2 linked regions of the Oreochromis niloticus genome follow. The protein of the gene in region 1 purifies or fractionates together with the protein of each later gene. This does not show direct contact. Links are inferred from orthologs where the notes say so. Each region holds a gene or a part of one and is shown in the gene's direction. Other genes may lie near its edges. The genes, in order: ret and stat3.

Region 1 (16,162 bases):
CTCTCTATTATTGTATGGTCTTTGCCTTACAATATAAAGCACTTTAGACGACTGTTGTTGTGATTTGGCACTATTTTAATAAAGTTTAATTGAATTCAACTGAACCCAAAACTTTCCTGTCAAAAACAAAAAGCAGATTGAAAATATCTTAGAGACAGGAAATGATCAGAACCTTCTGAAGATGTGACTTTAAAATACTCAGTTTGACATGATTAGACTGAAAGTTTAGAGTTTTAATGGCTTCATTATGCAGACAGTTAGTGATGTTCTGAAATGCTAATATGTTAATATAAACCTACAGTGTGACTATAGTTAAAGATTATGTGACAGATGTTTTCCTGTCTCACTGTAAATGCACAGCTGCCCTACTTTAATGATAAATGCTGTTAGAAAGTAGGAAGGCCCTTTTGTTCTTCAGACCTGAGTCTCAGATGGTGACAGTGGCACTTATAACCATTTGGGTTGTGGGAAGGTAACATGAAAAAGTGGCCACATTGCTCAATTCCCCGTGGGCGGTTTGCTCTGAGCCCTTCAGTCAGCGAGTCTTAGACGACACGCCAGGTGTCCGCTGGCTTCCTCTGTGTTGGTCCGTGCTAATGTTCTCAGCTGAAACATATTCATCATCACCAAATTAATCAGAGGGTGCGGATGACTAACACCCCACATCTGGCTCGATGGGATAGGAGAAACGTGACCGCCATGTCAGGGACGTGGCATCGACAGCCACATCCCAGGCCTATTTGGTTACCCAAGGGCAAGTACGCGGACACACCGGGTGTTGGTGTTTATGTGGTATTTCTCATTAAAGAGATGAGTGAATAGGCTGTGAGGTCTGTACTTATTTCTGCCTCTTTTTTTCACAGGCGGGGAAAATTCTAATTTTCTACAAAAAGATGAATATCCACATCCTGTGCCGATTCCTAGTGTGGACCGTCATCCTGGTACGTGGAGGTTTTAAACAGAGCTGCTGTAGGAAATGAATATAAAGTCAGTTGTTAATTTAAAACCAAGACACCCAATAACTGTCCTGCTCCTGTGATTCACTCAGAGCCGAGCACTTTTATGGTCTCAGTGTTTCACTTCACCTTGCAGGTGAATTCTGCAACGTGTTTTCCAGCCTCTTGGGTATTAGTCATACTGTAGCTTGCTGAAGTCATTCATTAGCAGGACTTAGCAGAGGACATGTGTGTGATCTCAGTACAATTAAACAACATCCATGTGTGGCTGTGTTTCCGGGCAGACATGGGTATCCGGCCCCTCGGGGGAATACACGCTGCGTCTCATTGCCTCTCTGTGCTTTACATGTGGTTTTAGATTGGAAGAGTTATGCATATTACTTAACGTCTGCTGCAAGCATAAAAGCATCTACTCTAAGAGTATGATCAATTTAGGAAGCTGCAAGCGAGGTCTCAACAAGCAAACCAAACACATGGCAGCTTTAAGAAAGGAATTATTAAAGTGTATTCAAACCTAGGATAAAAAGGTAATGCCTGTCTGAAAAGCTTTTAAGGTCATATTTGTTTGAGATTTATGCTCATTCTGGGTGGTCTTAAAACACAAAAAGAGCCAGGCTGGCCTCCATTTCATTTAGAGGGGGAATGCGTCCCCCAGGGAGAAGCCAAGTGTTACAGGAGATGGCTTGTTTTGCATTTCTAAACCTGTGACAGGAGGCTGCTAGTCTGCTCTAGCAAGACTGACAGACAGACACGTAGGAAGGCTAGTCTCCGCTGAACTGTGCTTGCCACTGTTTTTATGTACGTGCAGCGTGATGCTCCAGAGATATAGCTCATTTGTGAAACGGGGTTAGGAGGAGCCTGCGTGCTGTGGAGGCAGACATCCTGAACCGGCAGCCCTGTGACCTGGAGCGATGATAGAGCTGGAAGAGCTGGCTGCATCACACAGCCTTTGAAATCAAGCTGCGCAGGACGGAAAAACTGTGCAGAGAAAGAAAAAACACACAGAAGCAGGGAAAGACTTGTCTGAAGTTATGTAGTTCCAGTATATTTGGGTGCCTTTTCTGTCCAGCTTTGGGTATCAGGTTCCTTCAGAGTGTTATGTGTATGACTGCAAGACGTTTATTTATTTATTTGACACATGAGTTGAAACAGCATTGAAGGTTCTCGTGTTAAGGATATAGTTTATTTTATTTACTATTATGTCATAAGGTTTTTCAAGTGAAATCTGTTTATTTTTGTAGTCTAATATGTCCAAAACAATATCTCAGTGAAGTTTTAAAGGTCTGTAGCAGCAGCGTTTTTCCATCCAGGCTGTATTTTCCAAAAAGACAGTAGGAAGAGGAAAAAAGTCTCCCGTGTAAGAAACTCAGCGACAGAGTCCTGCTCGTATATGTGAGAATCAATTGAAATTCTGTTGCGAGAATTTAACGTCGTTAACCTCACTTCTTAAAGGACAAAGCTCCATTATGTCTCCAGGTGTTGAATCTTATTGACTATCATTGTGCGTTGAGTGGCTGGAGGGAGGTGACATAAATTAGATCCATTTAGCTTCTCCCAGCGGCGCACAGTGACAAAGTAGCTCATGCTGTCATAAATAAACATTAGGCTTTAATGTTTTTTCCACTGTATCTCATTGTTTACCAGCTGATAGATGCTGCGGATGCTACTCAAGATTACGATGTTGGAGGTGAGATATTCTGGATCTTACAGTATTTAGATGTGGATCAACAGAGTAGCTTAAATCCTGGTTAGCTGAAATAGAAAAATGCAATAAAATAGATTTTCTCACATTGCATCGGCTGGCAGTGAGAGCAGACCATCGCTATTGATTTTAGGAACGGACACAGGAATAAAGAATCAGCGCAGCATATATTTGTTTCACCATTTCTGCACGTGTATATTTGATTTGATTATTTTAATCTCAGTGGTTAAGTCTATTTTTGGTCGTATGTCTTACCAACACAGAAAGCAAAATTAGTTTTAGCGATTGGCCTGCTCTTGATATTGACTTTTCTAATAAGATTTCGGCTCAAAGGGGGAGGCAGGAAGCAGAGCCGAGCTGCCTTTTGTTTCAGACATGTGCTCTTAACATTAGCAGGTTTCCTCAGAGGAGGAGAAAACTTATTACTGCACGCACCCGACAAGAGGGTCGGCGTTAAGCACAGGAAAACCAGAAAGTGTGGATACAGTAAACATCAGGCCATGGTTTATTGTTTTGTGATCTCTGTGGCAGGCTGATATTCACAGGCAGCCATGCATCTTCCTCATAATAAACAGCAGCCCCTGTTAATTAAAGTCCAACGATCAGGCTCCAGAAGTGAGAGATTGAAATTGAGCGATTGCCCCACATACCAGCCCCATCCCACATCCTGCTGCCTGGATAGCCTGGAGACTCAATCCAGCCCCAGCTAGGCTATTTCCACACCATCGATTCTGTCATCTATACACATGATGGATATCCACCTAACGAGCATGTTTGGATCCTGATCCGCTGTCCTGGGTTTCTCTGTGCAGCACAAAATCTTTCTTCATGTATCTAAATCATACAGGGAGGGTGGGGGATAGTTAAGACTATAAAAGTGCTTACTGATGTAGAGTTGAGCAGATCATCATGAGTAAATATGAACATGGAGTCAGTTGGGCCTCAGTGTGTTGGACTTTGTAGATGCCTCTCGGTGGTGTTTTACTGTAGTGACGAACCCACATTTGAATGTCTTTCAGCTCATTGTTTTGGTGTGTTTGCAGTCCTGTCTAGTGTTTTGTGTGTGTGTATAAGTTAATGGACCGTGTCCACGTAACTCTCTGATTGTCGGTTGATCTGCTGGACTCTGCTTGATACTGTTGCCTCACGTTTTAGCAGCCCAATACAGATTGCTTTATCGCCCTCCATCGATTTGAAATCTGTTTCATTTCCACCCTCAGGGAATCTCTGCAGCCATCCTTTCTAAGTGCACGCGAGACGGAGGATTTATACCTGTCAATAAAAACCTTTGGTAAGTGCTTCCTGACCCTCTAAATCCAGCCACTTTTCCTCACAAAAAAAGAAAGGATGGGATTTCCAACAGACACAAATCAAGGCTGCTAAAACACGCGTTTACTTACCTCTAACGACAGCTACGGCTGTAAATAATCACCCGGGCTGTTGGCAGTGTGAGGTGTTGCCGTTATACATCCTCCCAACATGATCACTCTTCCTTACGGCCAGCGAAATAAAGAATGCTTCATCCTCCCCCAGAAGCACTCACTCACCGTTTTACCAGCTCTGTGTGATGGAAAGAGCTCAGACTCTGGGAAATGTAACTGTATAACCACAACACAGTCTTAACTGCTCCCAAACTATTAGAAGCCTTTTTAAAAAAACAAGGCACAGCACTTTCCTAAACGTTTGTAATGATTTTGCATGAAATGTGACACAGTTACCACCTCACGGTTACTTTATGACTCGTGCGTTTGTTTCCACTCCTACATTTCCCTTTATATGTGATGTGAAGCATTCAAATGTTGTAGCAGGAAGAACGCCATTTCATCTGTGATGTGTAAGCAAATTCCTCATGATGTTCCACATGGGGCATCACTTGCCATTACCTACCTGGCTTTTATAGGCAGTTCATCATGCACAGGTTATTGAGCTCCTGGGTACAAGTCCTTGCCGGGATGTCTAGAAGTAATTAACTCCAAGCTAAGAGTCCTTTTTGGCTCGACTTCAGCTGAGATAAAGAAATAAAAAATAAATGCAGGGAGGCTCTAGAAAGGAGCCATTTTACATGAGATAATATTTCATCGTGCATTCTTGCACTTAGGAACAGACAGAGACGTGGTTAGCTGGCACAGCTCCATGAGGCACATGCCAAGGATCCATATGCTGATGCTATAGACAAGTCCAGCAAACTGCCTCACAGTTTGTAGGACAGACTCTGGGTGTTATTTATCTGCAGCAGATTGATGGACTGAGTGTGTTTACACTGTTTTTCGCACCATTCTGCCCAGATTTTAGTGATGCCTAAATGTGCCGAATAAAATGTTGCTGTTGTTGTAAAGTGTTGCCGATGGTTTGTTTCTTCAGGTCGTTGTCCTATGTCATGTGTATGGGCTGTTTGTCTTTCCTGCTGCTGGGAGGCATGTTCTTTGTCGTCGATATCAAGGGCTGGTGGGGTGGACAGCCATTCATATACCCAGGTATGTTTATTCTTGTACTGACAGGCTGCTTTATAAAGGTGATTGTGCTTTGGTTGGAATAAAAACCTCACAAACGCTGGAACGTTATTTAAAATATTGACCACAATGACAATTGTGTTTGGCAGCTCATTAGCTGATCATGCAAAAACAAACATTTTTCCTAATATAACAAATGTCCTGAAAGCCTTTGTAGGGATTGTAGTCTAGGTTTTGGACTTGTGGTCCTCAGTCTTTTCTTCCAGTAATTTTTTGCATTATTGGCCAGACTCCCAGAGAAGAGTTTCAACTGATTAGCTCATTTGGAAAGCTTTTTGGAAAGCATCCCTGCAATAAAGCCTTTACTTTTTGCACATAACTTTAGTCATTCAGCTAAAGTTATGTGCAGAGCAGGGAAAAATCCTTTAAATTGTATAAATCCTGTTCAATAACTTGTCTTTTTTCCACCCCTCTTCCACAGGGATGAACTCCATCTTTGTGTATGTTGGCCACTCTCTCCTGGGCTTCTACTTCCCTTTCAGCTGGGAAATGCGCTTCCAGCAGAGCCACTGGGAGTGGCTCTTTCAAAGCCTGTGGGGGACTGCACTGTGGCTGCTCATCGCCTACCTGCTCTACAGGAAGAAATTCTTTCTCAAAATATAATCCATCCCACTTCTGTAGATTGTATTATTTTATATTTTCATTTAAAGGCAGCCTCTAAAACTAATTTTAAACTTTTTTGTATTTTACTTTACTAGAGTATATTATAATCCTTATTTATGTTATACTGCAATTTAGTACAACCCTTCAATTGATCCTTCCTTTAACTTTCTCCTGATTGGCTGCTCTTTGTAAATAGTAGGTGTGGACAGCTGGTGGGCGGAGCTTCCGTGCTCACAGCCAGAGCTGTGTGTGTCTCTCTGACATCATGCAGACCTGATAATGGAGAAAAACTATCAGAAGCTCAGAAACATTAGGAGCAGTCTGAAGCCTGGGCTTTTGGCTCAGGGATGACGTGTATGTATGTTGACCTAATATAATATGAGCTACTAAAATTATTATGTTTTTCTTTTTAAAAGCACTCTTCTCTGTAAATTATAGAGTATTAGAGCATCTGTGGGAGTTTAAAAGAGTTTTTAAAATGACCTGCTGGTCTAGGCTTAATTAGTTTAGTTTGCTTTTCATAGATGCAAACTTACCAGACACATGTTTTTTATCAAAAGCAAGAAGCAGAGCAGTGTAAAAAATGTGAAAACGCTTATCGGTGAAACCCATTAAAGCACTGTCCTGTTTCTAAAGAACTGTCAGTGTGGGCAGCTAAGGATTCGTTTGATAACACTTGTTTTATGCTCAGAATAGACTGATTAAATTAAATATATTGAGGTGGTACTTAACAAATTAGGCCAAGTGATTCCACTACACACCAGGACAACCATTATGAGTCTGTTGCCATGGCCACTCCTCCTGTGTGCATGTGTGTCTCTGTGTGTACCATCTGCTGTCCAAGTCACAGTACTATAATTGGGGTCAAGATGCACACAGAGGGGTGTCATTAATGGGGCCATCACCTTTTGCACTTATTTCATTAGAAAAATCAGGGAAATTACACAAATCCATTTCATCAGACGAGCCCCTCTCAGAGACCCCGAGCCCTTTACATGTGTTCTAGTTTGCACATTTCACACTCCTAGCCTCTTACTTAGTGAAACAGGGTTCATTCTCAGTAATAGATCAGAATATTTCCTCATGACTGATAAGCAGGTTGAATGATTTATATCTGTATGTATAATGTATATGTGCCATTATTGAACGCACTCAGGTCAGTGTCCCTCAGCATCAGGTCAGGTGGTGTGCATCATGAAATGACCATCTAGTTAATGAAATGAAACGGCATCAAGCTCCTCTTCCTGAGTGAAATCCTATTACACACTCTCCAGAAGCAGTAATAACACTGTGTAATATGGTGTAGGGGTTTTTGGTAATTGTCTTATGAGCACAAGTTATTTGAATCCCAGAAGGTGCATCTAGCCTTCCTGAACAAGACTCAAATCCTTAATTGCTTTCCAAACTATGGTGCCAGCAATGGAAATGCACTGCTGATTGGTCGAGAGATGAAAATGAAATCGATATACACTCACCACACAGGTCTAAAGATATCTTTTGTGTTTTGCATGCCATGAGAAAGCTTTGTGTTTTAATAGAAGCATTTAGCTGACTCATTCGGAGTAACATCACGAGGAGGTTAAAACCTATTACGTATCAAAAGCTGCTGCTAATAAAGATCAAAAGAGTCAAAACAAGAATCTATGCTGCCTTCTTTTTAGCCCAGAGCATTTTTGTAACTTGCTTAAAGCACATACAAAACCAATGTGGTTGCAGATGCCATGTCCACACCACCGTATTTCCTTCTCTTTATTGATTCTCATTGAGCATACGTCTCAGGATACCTATAGTCTGTCATATGGAAACATTATCCCAGATACAATACAATGTGCTCAGGCAGACTTCTTGGCTTCTTATATCACATAATGCCCCTTGGTACACCAAGTAGCATTACATTTGAGTAAACTGCTTATCATGTTATTCAATTCAATGTTATTTTATTTATATATTGCCAAATCACAATAACAGTTGCCTCAATGTGCTTTATGTTGCATGATAAAGACCCTGCAATAATGCAGAGAAAACCCCAACAATCATATGACCTCCTTTAAGCAAGCGCTTTGGAAACAGTAGGATGGAAAAACTTCCCTCTAACAGGAAGAAACCTCCAGCAGAACCAGGTTCATGGTGATGCAGGCGTCTGTTGTGACCAGATAGAGGTGAGTGGAGGAAGACGAGACAAAGACGTGCCATGTAAGAGAGCCAGAGATGAATAATAACTCATGATTACGTGCAGCGAGGTGTATAAAAACATAGTGAGTGAAAAAGAAACATTCAGTGCGTGGTTGGATTCAACGTCACCTGATCCAGCCCAAACTATATGCTTGATTACAAAACAAAGTATTAACAATAACACCAATTTCACAGGTTATACTTAAAGTTGATAGACTTTTACAATAGTACTTTACTTTTTACAGTTAAAACATGTCTAAGACCACTAAAGTAGATGTGGTTGGTTTTAACAACAGAGTCCAGAGCCATCTAGATGTAAGAATTAAAACTGCTCAAAGGTACAGAAGCATACAACCTATCTAGCTTTGTTAAAATGTCATCTCTTTCTTTACAGCTTCACAGCTAATTTTCTCCTTTAACCTCGCAGTGATCACTAATTTAAGGGCATATTGTTTTTAAAGTCTTCTTGATACCAAGAGGCTGACGGCTCGAGGGAGGTGAAAATGTAAGCACTGTAAGTAGCAGCTATTATATTTTATCCCAGTTGGTGAAAGTTAGTGAAGCTTCTGAGAAAGCCCCCTTTATCTTCTGTAGCCCAGTGAGCCTCAGTGTTTTTGCTCCATGCAGAGACATTGATTGGAAAGACACTGCTGAGAGAGTGACTGGTGTCCTGGCCCGAGGCTGCAGCAATGCATCACTCCACGCTATCTCCACACTGTTCAGTCACACAGAGATCCCGCTCTTTAACACACCCTCAGCTTCTGACATACACACACACTCAGACCTGAGAGAGGAAAGGTCCCACATCATTTAACCCCCTGATTTCATTCTGGGACTTTAACCCAAAGACTGCAGAGGACTTCTACTCAGCTGGGGAGTGTTAATTATCCACATGGAGTACTTGGATGCAATAAAATGTCTAGGCAAAAAAAAACCCAACAACAACAACTTAGCCCTGTCACTTCATTGGCAGGAGTTTCACTTAATTCTTGCCACCAACTGGAACATTGTGCTCAAAGTCTCCTTTTATTCAACCGAATTAAACAAACGAATTCATCGAAGCTACTTCAAGCTTAGCAAAATTAAACAAAAAGCCACATTTACAATTATCACACGGCTGTTATAATGAAGCGGTTATTAAAACGAGCACACCTGATGCCCACCTTTAAAGAGCGCCTGTGCCTTTAAAGTGAACCATTACGCGCCCAGTCATAATTGTTAATAATTACGCCCCTCCACCTCCCCCGCGCAGAGCCTTAATGAGATGACTGACCTGCTGTTAAATTATGCTCTTAAATTTCCTGTAGATGCTATGCCGCCCTGCTTCTGCGGAAGCAGCGGGGCAGTGAGTAGTGAAGCAGTGAACCTCCTCCCCCCACCAGACCAGCCAGTCAGCCCAGCAGCAGCCTCTGTAGCCTCAACACAGCAGCCCGTCTATGGGACACTGAGGACTTCATCTGGACGCAGAGCGCGCACTGGTTTATACCCCCATCTTTGTATATTTTATCGGTTTGATTATTGTTCTTGTTATTATTATTATTATTATTATTTAATTTTCGCCCAGAGGAACTTTTTTGGATCGTCTTTTCATTCAGAAACTTTCACCTATGGTTCGCGAATATGGGGTCAAGTTGTGGTTTCTCTCGGGGAAACATCGTTGCGCTGTTTCTGCTGCTGGTGCTGGAAGGTAAGGTTCATCATCAGTTCTCCTGTCACTGGAAAAGGGCGAAGGAGCGCACGATGAAGTTGCAAACTAATGCTAAATGTTGCACTAGTGTGTTCGAACGTTTTTGAAAACAAAATAAATGCTCTGGTCTTAACTATTAATCCAGAGGAGACGATTTAATGTTCGCTTCTTATTTTAAACGCGTTCATCCTTAGTATTATAAATTATTCAGACAGCATTAGCTTTAGTCTTTGAGTTTTTATCTCCATCTCTTACTGACCTTTCTGCCGGAGAGACCGTTTAGCGCAGAAGGAATTAAAATATGTTTATTTAAAAATTATATTTAGTATCTGCAAAGCTGGCCAAGGTGAAGAGAAATAGGTGCTGCCACAGAGCGAGCCAGTGAACATGAAGTCTAGATTGCAACTGACAAATACACAGGGCTGCTCAAGTGAAAAGCTAAATTGCAGCGTTTTGGAAGCTGAGTGATTTTTAAGGCCTTTTTTCCCCCTACGAAGTATCTGAAAGGGCACGAACACAACGCCAGCACTGTGCCACACAGCAGAAAAGTGATCCTTGCATTGTGCGCTGGCTATGCGTGGCATGACAACAATGAAACGAAGAGTAGAATGAATGCAGCCATATATCATAATATTATAATCCCGTCCACAATCCCACAGCCCAACTGCACTAACACTGCCCTCTCATGAAGTCTATATTTAAAGTGTCCCTCATAGGTCAGGACTGTGCCGCCAGTATGTCAGATGTAATGCTCGAACAAATACGGTTTTTTTGGACTTCAGAGGTTACTATCAGTGCTTGTATATAGGGAGGCAAACAAGCATTATGATCAAAGTCTTTGAGTGTATCTGGGATGTATAAAAAGATGTTCGTTTCTACGTGAATGGAGCACTGCTGTTTCTTTCCTGCAATAAACTACAGGCCTACTTAATCACCCAGGGGAGCAGTTTTCTGCAGAGTAGTTAAAAAGATTAATGCAACTGTTAAGGTAGAACACTTTTATGCAGTGTCCTCTGATTATTTTTTCACTGTTACACACACTGTTTAATCAGTCCATAGTCCACACACAGTCAGTCACGCGCATGCTGTTCTTACAGACCTTACATGCATCCACATGGCTTTTCCTGCTGGGCTCTGCTTGCACAGTCACCAAAGCAGGCGTTTCTCCTGATATTTATAGAAGAAAAGGGCTGGTGTCGTTGCACTTCATGTGTCAAGGACGTGTTGGTAATTAAATGGGTGCTGAAAGCTGCACCCTACGTGAATGTGGCGCCCATCACCTGCCTGTTTGTTGCAACAAAAGACCTACACTTGTTCAGGGAGGAGAAGAGGCGAGCCATGGGCAGGTGTGCAGCAGCTGCTCCTATCTCTGGGCAAACACTGGCTGTTTGTTTTCTTCAGGAAAATATCGCATGTTATGCAAGCGGACGGGCCGCTTGGGCTGCTGCCGGGCTTGCCACAAAGTGACATAGTCGGATTTTACCAGATCGATGATTGTTTTTATTTTACCCCACTTTGTGAGGATGTTCTGCCTGTTGTGACTCCTTTAAAACATCTTAAATCACTAAATGGTTTTTACATATGAGTCATTTTCCAAGTAAATGAATCATGTTGTGATGCACTTTTTGCATCACATTACGTCTAATGTGGATTTTTATTGCTGTTTGAGTCACTGATTGAATCTAAAGAATATTTATGCTTTAAATTTCAGTGGTACTACTTTGGTAAGCTCTCTGCAGTTTTACCAGAAGGTGGTAGACGGTTTTGTGGTCTGGTGTGAACTGATCCATCTCCAGCTTAGCATTGAGAAAGGAGTTAGCAGTGGCCTTGAAAAGATCCAGGACTCCTATCTTTCCTGTATATTATATGAGGGATGGTGGAAATGAGGAGGGCAAATAACTGGGATAAAATGAAACTCTCTGTCCTGCTGAGGCCCTTTTCCTTTTATTGTATGTGATACCATGATTTAGATATTTTTGGGAGTTCAAACTCATAAGTCTCCCTCATTGCAGAGGAAGATATTGCCAAAATTTATCTTCAATACGGACAATATGTCCTACCCTGCACACTGTTCTGCTAGCCAGACAAAGACTAACTAAATGCGCCACTGGATGCCATAGGAGGTCTTTCCTTCCCATGATCGTCTACTCATGAAGTTCCACATAAATATACATATGCATTTGTCAATTTAGTTTAACTTTAGTTTTTCTGATCTTCAATTTAGTTGTACGAATGGCACAGTCATGAATGGCTATTACAAAGGAATTTCCCGGTGGGGTTTATATAACTCCTGCTCCAGGTTCCAGTTTACTGATTAGTTTAGTGTTTCTCGCTGAGATCATCAAACAAAGGAAATTGGCAATCAGTGCTCACTTTTGTAGCAATCAGCATTTTTAAATGTTCCTGAGACATTGCCCTGCACTTAAGACCAAAGTAAAGTAGTTCAAGACATAAGCTGGAGTGAACTGGGAGCTGGGACGCCTCTATTCATTGTTCTTTATGAGGATTCCCATTAGCTGCCACTAAGGCTGCAGCTGCTCTTCTGTCTCTGTGCGTACGTTGTCAGGGATCGTGCAGTCACATGCACTTCTGTGTGAACATTTTAAGCAGTTGTTTAGAAAAAAGGCCAAAGAAAGTTATATCCGGCTCGTCGTGACTTTGTTTTTATTTACATTTTGAGGAAATCTGGAGAGCTTACTGAAACAACCCTTTATTAATTAGATTAGGCCTTCAGTATCAGCTGGCAGCTTTATAAACAAAGTGTTTGGAGGTGAAAATACATTTTGTGACGAAACCTGGTCAAAGCCAAAATCCACTCCCCCTTTTTAACACACACATTTGTGTAATCTCTTACACAAAAAAGTGCCACAGATGTTTTCACGTAAAAGCATTGATCTGTTTTGTTTCCACCGTGACCTTGTTACGGTATCTCTGACCCTTCCTCGCCCTCTGACCGGTGAAACCATAACATAGTGGTATAGTGCTCCTTCTTCTCTTTAACTCAAAGCGATCATTTTCATCAGCATCTTTTCCTCTGGAGAAGTACCAGACCAACAGATCTCATTTGATACGTGGTGCTATTGGATTTAGCCCCTTACAGCATGATATAATTAAGTAAAGCTTCTGTCTTGTGTTCCTCATGGATGCATGATAAATATTGTCAATTTTCCACGCTTGTTGTCACTGTGTTTATTTGAGTGTGAGTGGGAAATATCATAATGCAAGTAGATTAGATCTTTTTTACTGAGCTACATCAACAGGAGTGCTTTTCTTTTTTGCATCTTAGAAAAAAAATATTGTGATTCTTAAAGCTGGCTATAGCAAAAAGTTCAAAATGTGGCATACAACAGACTACATTATTGTGATTTAAAACCAGAGCTAGCTGGCGTGTTCCCTCTTTTTTAAGCTCATGAGCGACAGTAAACATGCTGTCAGCCACAGACGCTCTGATACCTGTTGGAACAGCTGCAGCACTTTAGTAGAAAAGACAAAGAAGCCTAAAGCTCCCGATTTTCCCACTTCATGAGTCACAAAACTCTCATCCTTCGAGCTTCCCAGCCAAAGTGGACCTGCGGTTTTTGAAATAACTGTCACCCAAATCGCTACTACTGCCTTGAGACTCCTGAGAGTCCCGACCTCTAATCCTGGGCTGCCATTTCTGCCGTCGCACGGATGCCGCTCCTACCTGTCAAACCCCTGTGTCTGATCCTCTAGTCAGTTCAGGGTCACACTTCGCTCTCATGCATGGGTAGAATCTAATTTGCTGTGGTGAAAGGACAAGGAGACATTGATTGAAATTTTACCCTCGGGGCATTTAGTCCTCTGGTTTCACATGGGTCTTGACAAGTTGTTTTCCAGTCGTGCAGCAGTGCACATCGTGTTTGACCCGTCATTACAACAATAAGTAAAACAAAGTACAGGCCCTGCTTATCTGAGTCCACATGGTCTGTGTGACACTGCAGAAATCAATGGGAGTGACTCTACTGCCATACTGGTGCCAGAGTCAAATTTGCACATTTACTGCAATCTCTCTAAAGAGAGCAAACCATAATAGTGGAAAATGTCCTTAAATTAACATTTTCCATAAATGCTGCTGATTCATACTTATGTTGCTGTTTTCCCCCCATCCTCTTCCAGCTCCACTTTGGCATCCATTTGTTTGGTCCTTCTTTTTACTGAAATGGGTAAACATGCTGGAAATCTTTTTTCCGTCCTCTGCAACCACCTGCCAATGCCAGAAACTCTGAAAGCTCCACTTCCCTTTGTGCTGGTAGTTCAGCGATCTCTACTCCCTGGCATAAAGCAGCGACTCTCCCCTTGTTCCCATACTGCAATCCACCAGATTCACTCATGTTAGGACAGTTGTAACAAGCAGTCAGAGTCTAGCAGTGCGAATAGTGGCGACTCATCTTAGCAGTGCCATTTAATGACGCTGGTGCATTGATGATTCCCACAATTAGGACATCTTATAAATTAATGCACTTTTACTGTGTTTGCTTCCTTGAAACAACAAGACTGTTGATGCTTCCAATGCACAGTATGTGTAAGTGATACACGTGACTGTGTTCAGCCTTGTTAGTTTTTCTCTCACTGCAGTGTTGTTCTGTTGTTTTTTGCCTGCTCATTTTGCACCCGACTAAAATAATCTAACAATAATTTGATAGATCGCCTTGGAAATGTGTACAGACATTCATAGCTCCGAGAAAATGAATCCCGATGATCTTAATGATCCCATGATTATTATTTTTTTGGTTTGCTTTATTGAGCACAATAATTAGGTCAAGATTTTAATTTGTCCAGTAACTGCACAACTAATGACATTTTCATCAATCTCAGACCGTATTTAGCGCTGATTAGAAGATGTCCATCCATCCATCCATCCATTCGCTTCCGCTTATCCTTTTCAGGGTCGCGGGGGGTGCTGGAGCCTATCCCAGCTGTCATAGGGCGAGAGGCGGGGTACACCCTGGACAGGTCGCCAGTCTGTCGCAGGGCCAACACACAGGGACAGACAACCATTCACACTCACATTCACACCTAGTGGCAATTTGGATTATCCAATTAACCTATCCCCACAAGCTGCATGTCTTTGGACGGTGGGAGGAAGCCGGAGTACCCGGAGGGAACCCACGCAAACACGGGGAGAACATGCAAACTCCACACAGAAAGACCCCGGCCTGATGTTGGAATTGAACTCAGGACCTTCTTGCTGTGCGGCTGATTAGAAGATGTTACAATACAAATACTGGCATTGTCACCATGATGCAGCGTTACTGATGTTAGCATTCAGAGTACAGAGTAATGCTAAATGTAGATGCCACAGACCTGACTGATAAATACAGTCTCACAGAGCTGGTAGCATGAGTCTAGACTGCTTGGTGTAGTGCAATAAAAGGCTGTAAAGCAATTCTTTCCTAAATCTGGTACTTTAGGCTAAACCCTTTATGAAACCTGTGGCTGTGAGCTATTTATGCAAATATAAATAAGCTCTCTGTGTTTTGCCACAGGCATTTAGAGTATTTGCCTCCTTCTGTGTACATGTCAGTAAATCTGATGGCTTTTTACCACTGCTGTGGTGAGGGTAGATGATTTTATCAAAGCAGCCTAATGACTGTTTCATCAAACTCAGTCTGGAGCTCCATGATGTACCACGTGTTCAATTTTTGATGCCACAGTCATCCCCAGAGAAATCCTTAAACTGAATTTGTACTTGCAGCTAACCCCTAAGGAGAGGTCCTATTAGATTTCTTGATGACTGATGAACATGGTTCATTGGATCTCAGCTCTTGTATTCTCTGGGGAATAATTGGATTACATTATGTGGTAATTGATTATCATGTTACGGTATGCATCATGGTAAACTGAGTAATCTACCTGGAGCCCGGCTGCCTTTTCCAAACTCAGATCAGCTATCTTATTAATCGGATGAAAACTTTGATGACTGGGTCATTATGGCAGGAAATGACTTTCTTTCCTTATTACACGTGTTGTTTTGAAAGATCGAAAAACATCAGAGTCATGCCTATATTAAATCCAGGTTCTGAAACCAGTGTGATATGATGAAGCATTTGAGCATAATAGGGACAGGAAATAGAGGAGGGGGAAAGATTTCAAAACATTATGATCAATATTAGCTTTCATAAGTGGAATTATAGTTGAATGTGCAGCTTTTTAGCTAATTGAATCTCTGAAGAAAACCATTCCAGTAGCAGTCACATCTCTGGAAGCAGAGCAATCATGATAGGTTTCCGAGTGATTATTATTTATATCACCGTGATATAACTGGGTGAACTGCTCCTTAATGTGCCTGGCTACAGCTTCTTTGTAAAAGATGATGGATTCCTTGAAAATGTGGATATTGATGGGCTAAATTGTGGAGCAGGCTGTGAAATTACACTTGCACAGTAGAAGTAATATTTCAGTGTCCACGCACAAGATGCCTAAGCAACTCCAATATTATGTTCGGCGGACGTGATTGCACTTGTGCAGCTTTTCTCTCTGTCTGTGTCATCAGTGGAAAACAATCAGCATC
Region 2 (16,162 bases), on another chromosome or scaffold:
CTCTTTCACCATGTTATGTATGATTTCACCTGTTTCCTGCCAGGCACTGCTGTTTTCCATTGGCTCCACACTTTCTTTTCAAGCGCTCAGTATAGCTTCATGGGAAAAACTGTGAATAACAGTGTCTCTGTTTCTGTCGGCTTACATTACTCATACTTGCTCTCAGTTACGCCATTTTCATGCCTTTTCTTTGTGTTATGTCAAAAGCACAAAACACTAATAATATAATGTATATATTTGCACATAAAAGTTCTGCAGGAAAATTTAAGAAGGGGAGGAGGAGCTGATGTATACTTTCTAAGGTCACCTAAATAAATTAAATCAATTTAATTAAATGAGCACATTTAATTCTGTGTGTTGCTATCCTTAAGTGTGTATATAGAAGTGGTCTTAAATATGAGGTCACGTTCTACATCAACAAATGGGAAAGTGTTGCAGTATTATGTGTTTATGCATTCAAAAATATATTTAATTATCATCGCGTTACACAGCCCTGCTGTGCTCACTGAGCAAACCTGCAAAGCATTTGCAGTATATATTTTAGTTTAAGAACAATATGCTCAGCAACTGCTGAACACATGTCAATATATTGTTGTAGACATGTCAGCTGTTTGTCCAGCTAAACTTCACCACACTACCCACCAGAGACTGCATGAGGGGGTGGTTGCTATGGTGATAGATCGCTCTGTTTATCTGTTGCTGTGTGGGAGGGGAAGGGAGGGAGCTTCTTGGTGGTGCACTAGTCAGTAGCCAGAGAACAGTACATGGAATCCAGAGAGCGGGAAAGGCCAGCCTAAAATAAACCCACACAGAGTGGGTCGAGCAGGTCTATACTATATACAGTGCTGAATACGGTTGCAATGTCCATTTTATGATAGGATCGCGTGGCAGTATTTGAATGGTGCAGGGATATGTGCTACTGATGTGATCTGACAGGTGTTTGTCTTTTAGAAGTTAGGAATAAGACCCGATAATACAGGTCACTTAATATTTAGTGTTATACTAGTGATATTACAGTTGTTATATTACAGTAGGAAACTATTAATTATCAAAAAACTATAACTTTCTTAAATTTTGATGACCATGTGACAAGTAAAGGAACCAAAATACAATTTAGGGCCACACAAGAAAAAAAGCACCTGTGTTTGTAATGTGTTATTTCAGAATGGTGGTTTATGCTGGTAGCTAATGCTAATGCAGTGTACTTCAGCTTTTAAAGTCTTACTGACCCCTCAATGTACTTTAGATGTCACATTTATGCAGCATTTGTCTTATGTACTTCAAGCACTTTATCTAGATCACATCAGCAGTCAGTTTAGAATCAGTTTAGTATTAACTTGTTATGTGACGGCTGTGTGCAGGCAGGAAAAGGACCCAAAGTGCAGACTCCGGAGACAGACGTGAACTTAAAAAAACAGCTTTAATGCTGAACTCAAAGTAACAAACTTCCAAAGTACAAACATTAACACAGGCCAGAAACCAAAACACACAGCATGAGTGAGGGTAGATAAGAGTAGATCGCGACACAGACCAAAGAGAACACAGGGCTTAAATACACAGAGGGAACAATCAGGAAATGGGAGACAGGAGGGAAACACAGCTGGGGCAAATCAGGCCTAACGAAACAGGGGAAGCAAAACCAGACACATTAACATCAGACGTGGACCTTCAAAATAAAACAGGAAACATAACACAGACTGAACTACAGACACAGACTGACTGGACACAGGGAGACAGCAACTAGAAAACACAGAGACAAAAACCATAAGACATAACTCTAACAAAGAAACCAAAGACTAGAAATGATAAATAATATAATGAACTCAAAACCTCTGGGTCAACGACCCAGGCATCCTAACATAACTAAGGAAACCCCCACAGGTACAGGGAGAACATGCAAAAAGCAAGAAAGAACAATGAGTATTCTTGCTGTGAAATGACTGAAATGCTATTTACTCCACCATCAAGTTACCTAAATTGTCATTTAAAGCATAAAAGGGCAACTACTGCCTAGGCAGTATTCGCATTTAAGTTTATGCATTGTAATTATAGCAGCTTGTAATAACAGTGACTGACAAATTATTCCCACCTTATTGAAATGTTTCTTTTTACAATTTTCAAATAAAGATGTGTCGTCCCTCATAGTGGAGAAGATAAACAAACCTTTGCTACATGCGAGCAGCGCTGTATCTGTTTCATGTGAGTCCGTGTTCTGCTGGATAATTACTTGTCTGATTGTGGCTCTTTAGCGGACTGATATTGGACAAAACAGATATGAGGCCTTTTATGCCTCTTAAATTAACTTCAGATGTAAACACTCATTGTTATTTGAACCCTAGATGTCAGACTGTGAACATCCTAAATATTCCTAAATATCTATGTTTGTCTCATGAATAACTGATTTTTTTAATGTGTATCTACAAAGTCAGTGACTATAGTGATGGTGCACTGAGGTGTGGTTCAGCAGGGTGGGACGACTGATCCCTCTATCAGTAACTGACAGTTGGGGGAATCACATTTCTATCATAGTACTGCTCCTCCCTTTGTGGATATCTGGAATGACACTGACAGTGTCCTGCCAAACAACATGGAAATGTGGTCTACTTTGTTGACAGGTGTAAAATTAAAAATTTTAAAAAAAAACAGAAAACCTTCTCATAATGCTTTGATTTAAGGTTTTGTTTTTGTTTTTTTGTAACTTGTAGGAGGGTATTCAAATAGATGCACATCCAAGTGGTTTGACAGGGTGATACCTTCCTGTGTAGCTTTGCATAGAACAAATACAATGGTCCTCCTTCTGGCCTTACCTATACAGCAATTTCTGTCCATCTCTGAAACTGCTGCACTTTGCATTATGTGCTAAACCGAAACTATTCTAACCACTAAGTATTTCCAGTGAAATTTAACCACCAGTCTCTATTCTGCATTTTATTATCAACACTTTTCCCGACCAAACACAAGTTGAAATTGTCTACTGAGAGATTTAACTGAAGATTAATTCTTCAAAAGTGGGTTCAGACTTTTATATAGAAATGATATGTAAGTGGCAGGAAATAAACCTGTGGTTAGATGAACAAATTGTGAGCTTCAGTTTCATTATGACTAAAGTTGCAGATAATATACGGTTCCTTTCAAGTCCCATAGTTTTACTAGAGTTTAAAGACATACCATATAATAATTACTGTAAATATGCCAGGCTACATTCTTTTATTTTTCATAACTGAAAATTTAAAACCATTTTGTTTGCACAATAATCAGCATATAAGTGACACCACTAGATGGCACTCCACACCAGCTGCAAACAGTGACATGTTTACACTGACTACTTGATGATGCATGACTCTGCAGAGTTTCAGGCTGATATTTGCAATTCCAATGCACACCTTAAGCCCATTAGCTTAATTTTGTATAGGTGGTACATTTGAAAACATATTGAAACACATGCTATTTTTACATTAATCATATAATGCAATTATTGAAACATCATGTCCACTGAAATTTTTGTAAAAGTGGTTGAAAAGCTTGTTTAACTCAGTCTCGCTCACTCTGCTATGGTGGCTTAATGCTCTTCTCTCTTTCTTATCCTTCCTATTTTGTCCCTTAGGACCAAGTGAAGCCACCAAAGGCATCCAAATCCAAGACAGCAGAGGCAGTAGAAAGTAAAACAGCGGAGGGTCTTGAGCAAATCCCTGAAGAGGGACAGGAGGGACTCCGAGACAATCTTAATTCAGATGAAGAGGTGGTGATTGAAGAGGAGCTCATAGAGACTCGTACAAGGCGCCTCCAACGCACCACAAAAGAGCAAGTCGATAACATAAAGAAAGCCTTCTCCAAAGAGAAAATTGAGAAGACCAAACTAAAAACCAAGGAAAACTTGGAGAAGACCAAGCAGAGAACCCGTGAAAACTTGGAGAAGACAAGACAGAGAACCCGTGACAACCTGGAGAAAACCAAGCACAGTCTTGAGAAGAAGATCGGCAAGCTCGGGACCCGCATGACCCCCAACCAGGAGCGCAGGGCAAAGATAAAGAGTTCCAAAGAGAAGATGAAGAAGTCACTCACCCCTGACCACAAGATGTATGCTCGTTCCAAGACCTCCGTGTACCGCGTTCCCCCTTTTACCTTCCATGTTAAGAAGATCCGGGAAGGGGAGGAGGAGGTGGTGCTGAACACGGAGATGGTGGAAGTGAGCGAGGCCGAGGTTCAGCCAGAGGGAGAGGAGAACGGGATGGGTGTGCACGTGGAGGTGGAGGAAGGGGAGCTTGTCAGTGTAGACAGCCCTGAAATGGATACTCTGTTGGAGGTGACTGAAGACTCTGACCTGGTCAGGGTGGATACAGACCACCTAAAGAAAGCCCAAAGTGAATAGAGTCTCATAGCTCCACAGGGCTGTGAAAGCAATTATATAAAGATGAAGAAGGAAACAGAATATTGACGAATGAATATAATCACAAAGACACAGTAGGGACTTTATAGATGATTACAATCTATGACATCTTATTTGTTTTCTGTTCTCTTTGTATTCTTCCCAACAGGGATAACTTTCATATTTGTTCATATTTAGCACTCAAATAATGGAAAAAAAGACAAACCCGGAATTATGTTACAGGCTGACTGGATATGCTACACTTAGAAATTAGAGTATTTGTTGTTTGTTGTTGGTTTGATTAATTGTGTGGCTAAAAGAAAAACAAAAAAAAATATTGTGATTAAGAGACAATATTTAGTGTGGCATTCGCCTTAACAAATATGGGAAAATGAAGTTTTTGGCAAGGTTTTTGTTGTAATGGACGGGTGAAGTGATGTGAATGTGTAAAGAAAAATAAATGTAAAAGTTGTAGACGGATTCTTCTACAGAAGAATTAACAAGTGAAGAAAAGATCTGTTGCACTGGACTTACACTAAGGCGTTTAACTAAACTGTGCTCCATATTTCGTAAGATTACAAACATTTTCCCAAATGTTACAATACAGTGTTTCTCATTGTTAAGCACTTAAGTGTGAATGGCTGGAAATAGATGTGCAATTTCTATTAATATATACTAGGAACCATGAACCTGTGACAAATTCAACTATCACAATGTTTAAATGCATAACACCACACTAAAAAGCAAAATATACTGTTGTGTATGTGGGGCAGTAAAATTTTCAGCTCAATTTTCAGCTTTCATTCAAATTAAAAAAGGAAAAACTGAATGAAAACGTTAATAAGATTCGGAATGTAACTTTTGCTATAGTATAAACAGTGTTTAATGAGGATACAACGTTTGGCGTGTCTGAACACGTTCTCACTAAGCTGCACATATTGCACTGCTGCACAAAGGGGAGGAAAAAAAGATAGTATCGCCATGGTCACAGCTCATCACAGTACATTTTCATGCCCATTAAAATTTCTCAAAGTAATTACAGACAGAAAAAAAGATGGTCTAAAGAGATGTGAGATGACAGTTTAATGACTGCTGTATGTAATATGGAGAAGCTGAACTATTACAGGAACATCCAAAGCAAAAAACTATGAAAATCTGGTCGTAAATTATACAATTTGGTTGGCATATGATGGAGAAAACAGCCAAGCAGTAATGAATGTAAACTGGTATGGCAATGCGCAGTCAGTCTTCTGATTTTGTAAGGCCGAGCATATCGCTCTCCAGACAAAAACAAGGTGAATGTATGTCTTCCATTTTGCCTCCCTGGAGACTTGAATGACCTTGATGTGGTGCAGACACACACACAGAGGCCTACTGTGTAGCATCGACCACCATTAAAGTAATCAATGGGCGGGGAAATACAATTAAGGAGAGTGCTCGGTCAGAGAACTGCACAAACCAGAGAACATTGAGAAAGACAAAGGGGATATGTGTCTGCGTGTCTATGTGAGGGAGGGAGAGACTAATAAATGGTGACAGTATGCGCATGTCACGTACCCAAGCATGAAGCTGAAATCACACAAAACAATAAAGAAATCAGCTGTGGGCCTGTAAAATCACATGGGCATGTTAGTTTCATAGCATTAGCCTTTTGTTTATTTTATGTTATTTTTTGTAATTTTTTTTGGCAAAGACAACCTTTACTTTATCCATAATACTCGCTGGTTCCTTTAGAAGAAATGTGTGTTTTTGTCACCCTGTTTATTTTGTCTTGTTTTAAGCTGCTGGTTATTCAGAAAATGAGCTTCAACACTCCTGCAACCTTATGTGACATAATATTACTCTTGGTGTTACTGATTTATATTCAAATAATGACGCTTGACTGATTATGTTGTGTTTAAGGCTTTTTATGCCTAACAAATTCAATATAAATAAACGCCTTACTAAATAATATGTAGTGCCTGGCATCATTCTTACGAACCTGGCTGATAATGTTGTCTTGTTTGTCAGTTCATAAGTTTATTTGTGTTCCTTCACCTACCGTGACCAGAGGGTCGAATTATGACTAAAGGTAAATAATGAAGCGCTCTAGTGTTATTAAACTCTCGATGACGTCGGCACTGCCGGTAATTCAGATGACTTCTAGGCTGGCTGTTCCGTGAAAATGTTTGTCCCCCCTCCGGTGCTACCCAGCTTAAACGTCTACTCTGTGGCTTACCCGGGGGGAGGGTGTTCAGAGCAGAACAGCGCAGTTGCGACAGCGGTACAGCGGACCTCCTCAACCAACCTCAAGCTAGTGTCCCGCCTTCTTTGCTTATAAGCTGCATTGTGATTGGCGACAGCAGAGTTGCAGACCACTATTGGCGGCTGGAAATGTCAGTAAAATAGTTTAAGGAGTTTGGCTGGCTGGAAAGTCTGCAATGTAGGGGATGGGTTGACTGATAGATCCGTACTTGCGACGAAGAAGCGTTTCTCGTGTTGGGAAGAGAATATAAAGACTTACGGGGTTTTTTCGAGCGCTTTCCGTCGTTTTTGTGGGTAAAATCTTTACGAAAGTTGCCACTGACCGTTATCGTCAGTGTGTTTTATGAGAAGGGTTACTGTTTTGGCGGAGAAACTTTCTAAATAAGTGGCATCGAGCCAGGTAAGCAAATATAAATCGACTTCTGCTTTTGGTGTAAATTCTTTATTTTTAACGTAATGTTAATGCACGTCTACTTCTAATATCGATAACGCTGCTGGGGTACACTTGCAGTACTTTATAGGTTCTTAGTTATTCACGTTGGAGAAACCCCCTCTGCTCACAGTGATACATCATTTATTAAAGTGGTAATAACGTTTTTAAGTGTGTTACAGTTCTGCTCGTTTCTTGTAAAATGTATATTACAGACGTAATATTTAAGAGTTTTTGTGTTTGTGTGCTCTATTTTACTCGTCTACTCTCTAACGCCTCGTTTAATAATGGCAGTACATCTGATATGCTTTAAAAAGGGAAGGTGGGCTTTAACGGGATGCCCCTTTGGACCGAGGAAAATTCAGTTCAGTCCTTTCTGTTTTCTTTAAGCTGTCACGCCCATCACCATGCCATCAGTTGGACAGCACACCCACTACCTAGCCTTATGATTCAAGGCTTGCATTCAATAAATTAGGCTTTAATTGGGGACAGTGAGTTAGCAGATTATTAACTTTTGGAGAGTTTTGAATATGGACGCACATCATAATCAATCAGTATTTTATTTATTTATTTTTGCCTAATAACACATGTAGTTGTACTATTGTTTTCATCCACTGCCAGTGAAGGTTGACATGCTTACTGTTTCTCGTTGTTGTCTCAAGGAAGTGCTTCCTTGAATATCATAGGTATGAGTTTTAATGAATGGCACTTTGCTTTACCGTTTGTGCCACCTACTTCCGAGCATAGGGCAGTGGACAAGCTGGGTAGACAGGTTTATTTATGATAACTAATTCTGAGTTGTGGATTTTAATTTGAGAGCTTTAGATTTAGTTTTTAAAGCTCAGACATTGATAGAGGTGTGAAAAGAAAAGGAACACAAAATGTGTGAGACCTAAGCAAAATTTCTAAGTTATGCAACCAACAGATGGGTTGTTTAGACTTTATGGATTCCTTTCATCTGACATAAACAAGCTGCTGTTCTAAAGTTACTCTTGATTAAAAATACAACACAACTATTTCTGTAACAGTACACGTATAATTCTGCAGAGATCTCACAGAAGGGCTTAGTAAGTGTCAGAATAGTCCAGCCATTTCAGGAGAAACGGGATAAGTAGCTTACACAATAAACGTACAACTGTGCCTAAGGGTCATGGAGAACACTTGAAATACTGTTTTGTTTTTTAATTGAGCTGATAATGACTTGGCTATTCTTTGATTTGATTCTCCCAGGTCTTTTACATGCCCAGAAATCTACACCATGCATGAATGCATCTTTTTCATATGTTGTAGAAAGAGGAACATGGGTCTATGGGATATGGGACAGTTAGTTATGTGGCTTCACTGCTTAAAATAGCCACGCAATATTAGTGAGGGTATTAGTGGTTTTGTTTTTTGGGGTTTTTTACCGAAACTAGTGGCTTGCCTTGAACACTGATTTCAGTGAATGTTGGAAAATCCACTTTCTGTTGGTGTTTTAAAATGATGCTTTTGAGAAGGCATTATGTTACTTTGCACTCACCTCCATGTGTATGAATATGGAGCCTACATAGCGTTGATTTGAATAATGCTAATACCTAGACAGATGGAAATTCAGGTCCCGTGTTTTAACCTATTCAGATATGAACAGCACTATTTCAGTGGTATGCTTTCTGTCAGCAGAAGAAAATCTTTACATTTGGAAACAGAAAGTGAAGTTTTGTTTTTTGTCAAGTACATTTCTGTGTCAGCAGATACCAAGCATGAAAGCTTTGTTAAACGTCTCTGCCTATATTTTAAGTTGAACTTTAAGTGTATTAGAGAACACAGTATACACATTCAGTGGAAGGATGTTACTGCAACACTATCCAACATGTTATGTAAGGATTAAACAAAGGAAATGGCTTCCTTTTGGATTTATTGAATGTCTGGTTATTGTTAGTGTACAGTAGAAAATTCTTCAGGGAATGGTGTACCCTTTAGGTGAAAACATGAGAAGGCTAGCAGAACATCTCAAGTGGATCTGATGGAAAAGTTATAGTTACATAACCTAGATAAGAGTTATATCTGATATCAAGTGATTGAAAATAAATGAAAGACTATTACTCAAATTGCAAAGTACAGAAAGTGCAGTGAGATACCTTCGAGGCAAAGTTACCACCAAAGATCATTAACTCCTGTCTGCTCAGGGAGTCGACAGCTGTTCATGTTGGCCTAAATTTCTTGGTGGAGGCGTAGTGTTTCAGTGAACAGGAAGTGACTGTACTGAATAGGAAGCCTCTCATGGGCTTGTCATCGTTTTCAGAGAAAACTTGATATTTAGCTATTTCCCTACAGTTAGTTTTACTGATTCTATCAGGAACTGTGGCAGTATGTATTATCAGTTTGTATTTTTATAGAATTTTTGCAGAATTTATGTTGTCTCACTCATATTTTTTATGTAGGCCAAAGGAGGTGAGTGTCAAGATGGCCCAGTGGAACCAGTTACAGCAGCTGGAGACCAGGTACCTGGAGCAACTCTACCACTTGTACAGTGACAGCTTCCCCATGGAGTTACGACAGTTTCTTGCGCCTTGGATTGAGAGTCAAGACTGGTAAGAAATAATTACATTTCTAGGCTCTGTTGTGAAATTACATTTTAATTCATGTAATTTTCTCTCCCTTTGGATTTGGAGATGGCCACTCATTATGACTTCCAAAATGTTTTTTGGCTTTAACATTTTTTTTTTTTAATTTATTCATTATCACCCTCTTCTTTCCTTATAACACCACCACAGGAATCAGAGTACTCTGATACAATGTGTCAGTGTGCTTGTTAACCCGAGTACTCATTTTTGTGGCAAATGGGGATGATTTTGACCTTAATGTATGAGGAAAAATGAGAAATGAGCACATACTGATCACTTTACCTGTCGTTTACAAGGGCTTACGCTGCCAATAAGGAGTCACATGCTACACTGGTGTTCCACAACCTCTTGGGAGAAATAGATCAGCAGTACAGCCGTTTCCTGCAGGAGAACAATGTGCTCTACCAGCATAACCTACGCAGGATTAAACAGCATCTGCAGAGCAAGTACTTGGAGAAACCGATGGATATTGCTCGCATTGTTGCTCGCTGTTTGTGGGAAGAACAGAGGCTGCTGCAGACTGCCACCTCTGCTACACAGGTTGATACAGCAATATTGACCTAGCTTCAGACTTTATGATGTATAAAGTTAGTACAATGGCTCTACGTAGTATATCTTTTATCCTCTTGCAGGATGGCCAGGCAGCCCATCCCACTGGAACAGTAGTGACAGAGAAGCAGCAGATACTGGAGCACAATCTTCAAGACATCAGGAAGCGGGTGCAGGTTAGTTCCCATTAAAGAGTCACTTACTGTATATTTACGTAATTGGTCTTTCTTGGCATAAATGTATATACGTTATCACCCATTTCTCCACAGGATATGGAACAGAAGATGAAAATGCTTGAAAACTTGCAAGATGACTTTGATTTCAATTACAAGACCCTAAAAAGCCAAGGAGGTATAATTATCTTACTATATTTTTAATGTAATTTTCTTAGCTGTGCTGCGTGTATTAACAGCTAAAAGTTAATTTAATGGTGACCTGTTCACCTTCTTTCCAGAGTTGTCCCAGGATCTAAATGGAAATAGCCAGGCAGCTGCAACGAGGCAGAAGATGGCCCAGCTCGAGCAGATGCTGAGCGCCCTGGATCAGCTCAGGAGGGTGGGTTTTTAAACTTTATTGATTTTAAGCATGTATTATATCAAGTGCTTTAGGTAACATCTAGAAAACAAGGATATTCAAAACACATTATAATGCCTTATAAATGTAAACCTTTGTATCTGTACATTTCAGGGCGTGCAAAAATGTATAAAGAGGCATTTTAGGAAGTAATTAGATCGAAATGAAACAACACCTTTGGACTTACGCTGGCACACCCAGTTTAAGTTTGCTAGCTAGCACAAAAAGCGATAGATGTGGCATTGCGTCTGTGAAACCAAATGTCCATTAGTTTTGCATGCTGCACATATGTTGACCATTAAATTTTGCTAGACAGCAGTGTACTGCACAAGCAACTCCTGCTAGTTACATTCATCAATGGTGAAAATAGAAATTTGGCTAAAAAATGATAAATGCAAGATTGATAAACATCTAAATGTTTAGCTGAATGATAGTAAAGAATAATCTTAGTCTTAAACCTGAATATTAACACAGTCATTGTTTGAATCTTTAACAGTGGTACAAAGTTTGGACCACAGATGGATTATAGCTCTTTATGCCAATGTTTAATGTGTGCTGTGTTTGCTTTGTTATAGCAAATTGTTACGGAGATGGGAGGCTTGCTGACTGCCATGGACTACGTACAGAAGAATCTGACAGATGAAGAACTGGCTGACTGGAAGAGGAGACAGCAGATTGCTTGTATTGGAGGCCCTCCAAACATCTGTCTCGATCGCCTTGAAACTTGGTAAACAGTTCTGAGAACTTACCCCTTTTTTTTTTAATAAAAAAAGACTTAAAATTGGAAACTGGTACAGAGATTAATCATTGACTGTTTATTATTAGATATGTTCACAGTAGGTTTCGCATCATAAATGAATGATTCTGGCCAAGTGACTGTGGACTTTGGTCTCTGCTCTTCTTACTCCCTTCATATAGACATGTGTCTGATTTGCACTTTGTATTATTATTTTAATCAGGATTACGTCCTTGGCTGAGTCCCAGCTCCAAATTCGTCAGCAAATCAAGAAGCTGGAAGAGCTTCAACAGAAGGTGTCCTACAAAGGAGACCCCATCATTCAGCACCGGCCCGCACTTGAGGAGAAAATTGTGGACTTGTTCAGAAACCTAATGAAGAGGTACATTTGATGTTTATCTACTTATACAGATTTTTGTCTTAACTCGATCTGCATGGATTTAAGTCCATAGTCTCTCACAGTTTTTATATTGTAAATGTGAAATTTCAGAAAAATGTAAAATTACTGCTTAGGGGACTTATACCTTTAACACTGCTCATCATGTATTGATGTGATGCTTTTCTGCGTCATAGTGCTTTTGTGGTTGAAAGACAGCCTTGCATGCCCATGCATCCGGACAGACCTCTGGTTATCAAAACAGGCGTGCAGTTCACAAATAAAGTCAGGTGAGATTCAGGATTACAACACCAGATTGTACATTTTTACACTTGGGATTATACATTTTATTGAAACATTTTTTGTGTCCTGTATAACGGGAAGTGTAACAGTCATTTTAATAAGTGAATGAATTTGTTCTGTCTTGTCTCTTTTCTCAAATTTTTAAAGGTTACTGGTAAAGTTTCCTGAGCTCAATTACCAGCTGAAAATTAAAGTTTGCATTGATAAGTGAGTTTATTTATATATTTTTATCATCCAACATTTCTGTTAAGTTTTGACCACTAGGATAGAAAGACAAAACAAATTTACTGCTTTACTCATTGCATCTCTATTTTTCAGGGAATCTGGTGATGTGGCTGCAATTCGAGGGTAAGACTTTGAGAACAAACTTTCAAACCTCAGAGCATTTAATGTGTAGTATTTTAGAAAAGGTTCTTACTTCGTGCTCTACTATGATTTTATCAGATCACGAAAGTTTAACATCCTCGGTACTAACACAAAAGTTATGAACATGGAGGAGTCCAACAATGGTAGCCTGTCAGCAGAGTTTAAACACTTGGTGAGTCAAACGTCTTACCGGTTGAAAGCTATGAAGTAATCTGATAAAGGCCTTCTGTGGAGCACTGACTTCCTGTTTGTTGCAGACCCTGCGAGAACAAAGGTGTGGTAATGGTGGACGGACCAATAGCGATGTAAGTCCTACTTCTTGTTGGACTTGTGTAATGTAGTGAACAAACTGCTCGTTTCAGAATCTTAGCTGTATTTAGCATGTGAAAAATTCTGCTTTATCTGTAATTAACAGTCCTCTTTATCTTGTATACATATAGTTTTATAAAGAAATTTAAGTAGGTTGTTTTTTGTTTTCTAGGCCTCTCTGATTGTCACTGAGGAACTGCATCTTATCACATTTGAAACAGAGGTCTATCACCAGGGCCTGAAGATAGATCTGGAGGTGAGTACTGCCACTGTGTTTCATGAAATGGAACATATTTCTACTTTCACTATTAACCCAAGCAACACTAATAATCAACAAAATTCGAAACACTCCCGAACCATAATGCAGTTTTGTTATATGACACCCAATACAAAGTCAGTCACCAGACAAGTTAGTCATTTATGAAGTCGTCCGCCTCCAGTCACCTTCATCAACCCAGCTTCTACAGGGACTGATTCTGAAAACACAAAATTTCTTCTGTTTGCCCTTTTTCTGACCTGCCCACAGTTAATGGCAGGGTCACTGGCACTGAAAGTTTGCGCTGATTTTGATTTCTTAGAGAATCATATTATTTGAATTTGCAGATACTTTAACAATGCGTTAATTCTAATTTAAAATTAACTTTCAAGTCTTTTTTTTTTTTTTTTTTTTTTTTTTTTAATGAAAATGTGAGAAAATATATGAGAAACAACATAATGTATAAATAACATTTGAATGATGGGTGTTGTTTTTTTTGTTACACACACCATGTTTTTGCAGACCCATTCCCTGCCTGTGGTAGTTATATCAAACATCTGCCAGATGCCAAATGCCTGGGCTTCAATCCTGTGGTACAACATGCTCACTAACCACCCAAAGGTAAGACAGCACCCTCTGGTGGAAAGGGACTAAACTCTGCATGAGGTGGATCTTAACTCAATAGAGTTGAAGATCTGCTTGAGTAGAAAGTAGAAAATGTGTATATTTTCAAAACATTTTGCCTTGGGGGTTCTTTGCACAGAACGTGAACTTCTTCACCAAACCTCCAGTGGGGACATGGGACCAGGTGGCTGAGGTGTTGAGCTGGCAGTTCTCTTCCACCACCAAGCGAGGCCTGACCATTGAACAGCTCACCACATTGGCTGAGAAATTACTAGGTTAGATGACAAGCCCTAAAATATCCAAGACTGTTTAGTTTTTCACAATGCTTTATATTAATCTGATCTGATTTAAATCCTTAATTATCTATATAGGACCATGTGTCAACTACTCTGGATGCCAAATCACCTGGGCCAAGTTCTGTAAGGTACTACAACAAATGGCACTAAATTGTTCAGCGTTATTGTTAGTGATACTTTATTGTTTTGTATGAGTTAATTTTTTTCTTCCACTTCACAGGAAAACATGGCAGGCAAAGGCTTCTCCTTCTGGGTGTGGCTTGACAACATTATTGACCTGGTGAAAAAGTACATTCTTGCACTGTGGAATGAAGGGTGAGAGGTCATGCTTTGTTTACAGTCAAGCCTTCCTTTCATATTAGAACATTTTTTGACATGGAGAAGACTTTCTGTAAGCTGTTAAGCCTGAACCGTGAAATAATTATCAGAAAATTCAAAATGTTTGATACAGAAGTGTGTAATTTAACCTTATGACACATTTAAACAAAAATATTAATTATAAATTAGTGCATACATGTTTTAATTGGTATCTCTTTTTTTAATATAACTTTTTTTTTTGTGCAATAAAGGTTTTTCTGACAAAAAGAAATCTGAAAAAGTCTTGTTTTAAATATGACACACTTGGTGTTACAGGGTTAAGAGTATTTTCATTTCTTCATATGTCTACAGGTATATCATGGGTTTTATCAGTAAGGAGAGGGAGAGGGCTATTCTGAGTCCAAAACCTCCCGGTACTTTTCTGCTGCGCTTCAGCGAGAGCAGCAAGGAGGGGGGCATCACCTTTACATGGGTAGAGAAAGACATCAGTGGTGAGTATTTCAGAACTTCATGCTGTTTTCATGGTCATTTTTTCATGTTCTCTTTTTGCTGTGATGCTGAACTTTCTTGTGTTTATATAGGAAAGACCCAGATCCAGTCAGTGGAGCCTTACACCAAGCAGCAGCTCAACAGCATGTCGTTTGCTGACATCATCATGGGCTACAAGATTATGGATGCCACCAACATCCTGGTTTCACCTCTTGTCTACCTATATCCTGATATTCCCAAAGAGGAAGCCTTTGGGAAATACTGCAGGCCAGAAGCAGCTCCTGAAGCCGAGATGGGAGGAGACTCAACGAGCAGTAAGTTACTGCCTTGTTCTTCAAAGTCTTTATTTAGTTAAAAAGAAAGTCAAACATATTGCTCAGTATGTTTATAACAACATTGAGAGTGTTTTTTTTCATTTGTTTTGTTTTTCATAGTGCTCATTATGTTCTCCAATTTTTTTCCCCTAACAGCTATTCAGCCTTATTTGAAGACAAAGTTTATCTGCGTTACCCCGTAAGTATCTTCCACTCCCTTCTTCTGTATCTCAGAGTGATAATATTTACAGGATGGCCGCATGCCAAACAGTGACCACCACTTATATTAGTTCTTAGTGCTTCCTGTTAATGTTTTCTTTTGTGAAGACTGAGTGATCCTGATTAAGATACAAACTTCAGACTGTTTCATGTGGCAAATGTTACCAAATGTTCAGGGAAAAAAACAACATAGAGGTTTTAAGGAGGAAGGAATAATCATAATGTTCAGAAAAAGGGTTGTGAACCCAGGTGTGTGTAGATTCTGAAAGGAACTGGCTTAGACTGACTTTGTACATGGGCCATCTGGCTGTGTATTCACTGAGCACATGTGAAAGTAATTTATTTTCATTTTCAACATGTGAATAGCCATGTCTCACGCTTTCTGTACGCCATTATCTGACTCACTGGCCATTTCCAAATATTTAGTATGGATTTTTCTCTTATCATACATAGGGATGGGTACCAAAATATGGTATTAAATGGGCACCAGTGCTGAGCGTAAAGTATCAATAACCTTTAATGTTGTCAGTTCTTCTCTCTGGAGAGATTATCATGTATTGTAGTCCCTAGCGAGAAGAAAGTTCTCTTCCTTGGAATCTATAAATGAAGGGCAGGGGCAGCCCCAGAACTGTGCACACACACCCACAGATAGAGTATTAGTGATGGGGGTGGGAAATTTAAGCGTTCATTTTCACTAGAATTGATATGGAAAGTGCTCATTACCGCAAGTACAAGAAAGCAGATATGCCAATACATCAGCGGCAAAGAGTTCACATATAGAGTTCATTATA

The links.
Region 2: the proteins of ret (region 1) and stat3 purify together in Homo sapiens (affinity purification with western blotting; 3 studies listed by BioGRID and IntAct, with this or other methods). This does not show direct contact. The link is inferred for Oreochromis niloticus from reciprocal best matches to the Homo sapiens genes RET and STAT3.

What each region holds. Positions count from the first base shown.
Region 1 is NC_031978.2:25,423,357-25,439,518, reverse strand, and holds the start of ret (proto-oncogene tyrosine-protein kinase receptor Ret), read left to right. Parts: upstream 1-9,240; 5' UTR 9,241-9,255; coding exon 9,256-9,630; intron 9,631-16,162. Other genes in the region: si:dkey-192p21.6 (heparan-alpha-glucosaminide N-acetyltransferase), read left to right, coding at 864-941, 3,879-3,949, 5,020-5,132, 5,590-5,771. UniProt on the Homo sapiens protein: Receptor tyrosine-protein kinase involved in numerous cellular mechanisms including cell proliferation, neuronal navigation, cell migration, and cell differentiation in response to glia cell line-derived growth family factors (GDNF, NRTN, ARTN, PSPN and GDF15).
Region 2 is NC_031969.2:26,411,977-26,428,138, forward strand, and holds the start of stat3 (signal transducer and activator of transcription 3), read left to right. Parts: upstream 1-6,763; 5' UTR 6,764-7,010; intron 7,011-9,460; 5' UTR 9,461-9,482; coding exon 9,483-9,610; intron 9,611-9,939; coding exon 9,940-10,183; intron 10,184-10,275; coding exon 10,276-10,368; intron 10,369-10,461; coding exon 10,462-10,543; intron 10,544-10,646; coding exon 10,647-10,747; intron 10,748-11,340; coding exon 11,341-11,492; intron 11,493-11,724; coding exon 11,725-11,883; intron 11,884-12,074; coding exon 12,075-12,167; intron 12,168-12,327; coding exon 12,328-12,387; intron 12,388-12,498; coding exon 12,499-12,528; intron 12,529-12,624; coding exon 12,625-12,718; intron 12,719-12,803; coding exon 12,804-12,851; intron 12,852-13,027; coding exon 13,028-13,111; intron 13,112-13,633; coding exon 13,634-13,732; intron 13,733-13,874; coding exon 13,875-14,010; intron 14,011-14,106; coding exon 14,107-14,159; intron 14,160-14,251; coding exon 14,252-14,346; intron 14,347-14,700; coding exon 14,701-14,840; intron 14,841-14,930; and 4 more. Other genes in the region: cavin1a (caveolae-associated protein 1), read left to right, coding at 3,605-4,369. UniProt on the Homo sapiens protein: Signal transducer and transcription activator that mediates cellular responses to interleukins, KITLG/SCF, LEP and other growth factors. Once activated, recruits coactivators, such as NCOA1 or MED1, to the promoter region of the target gene.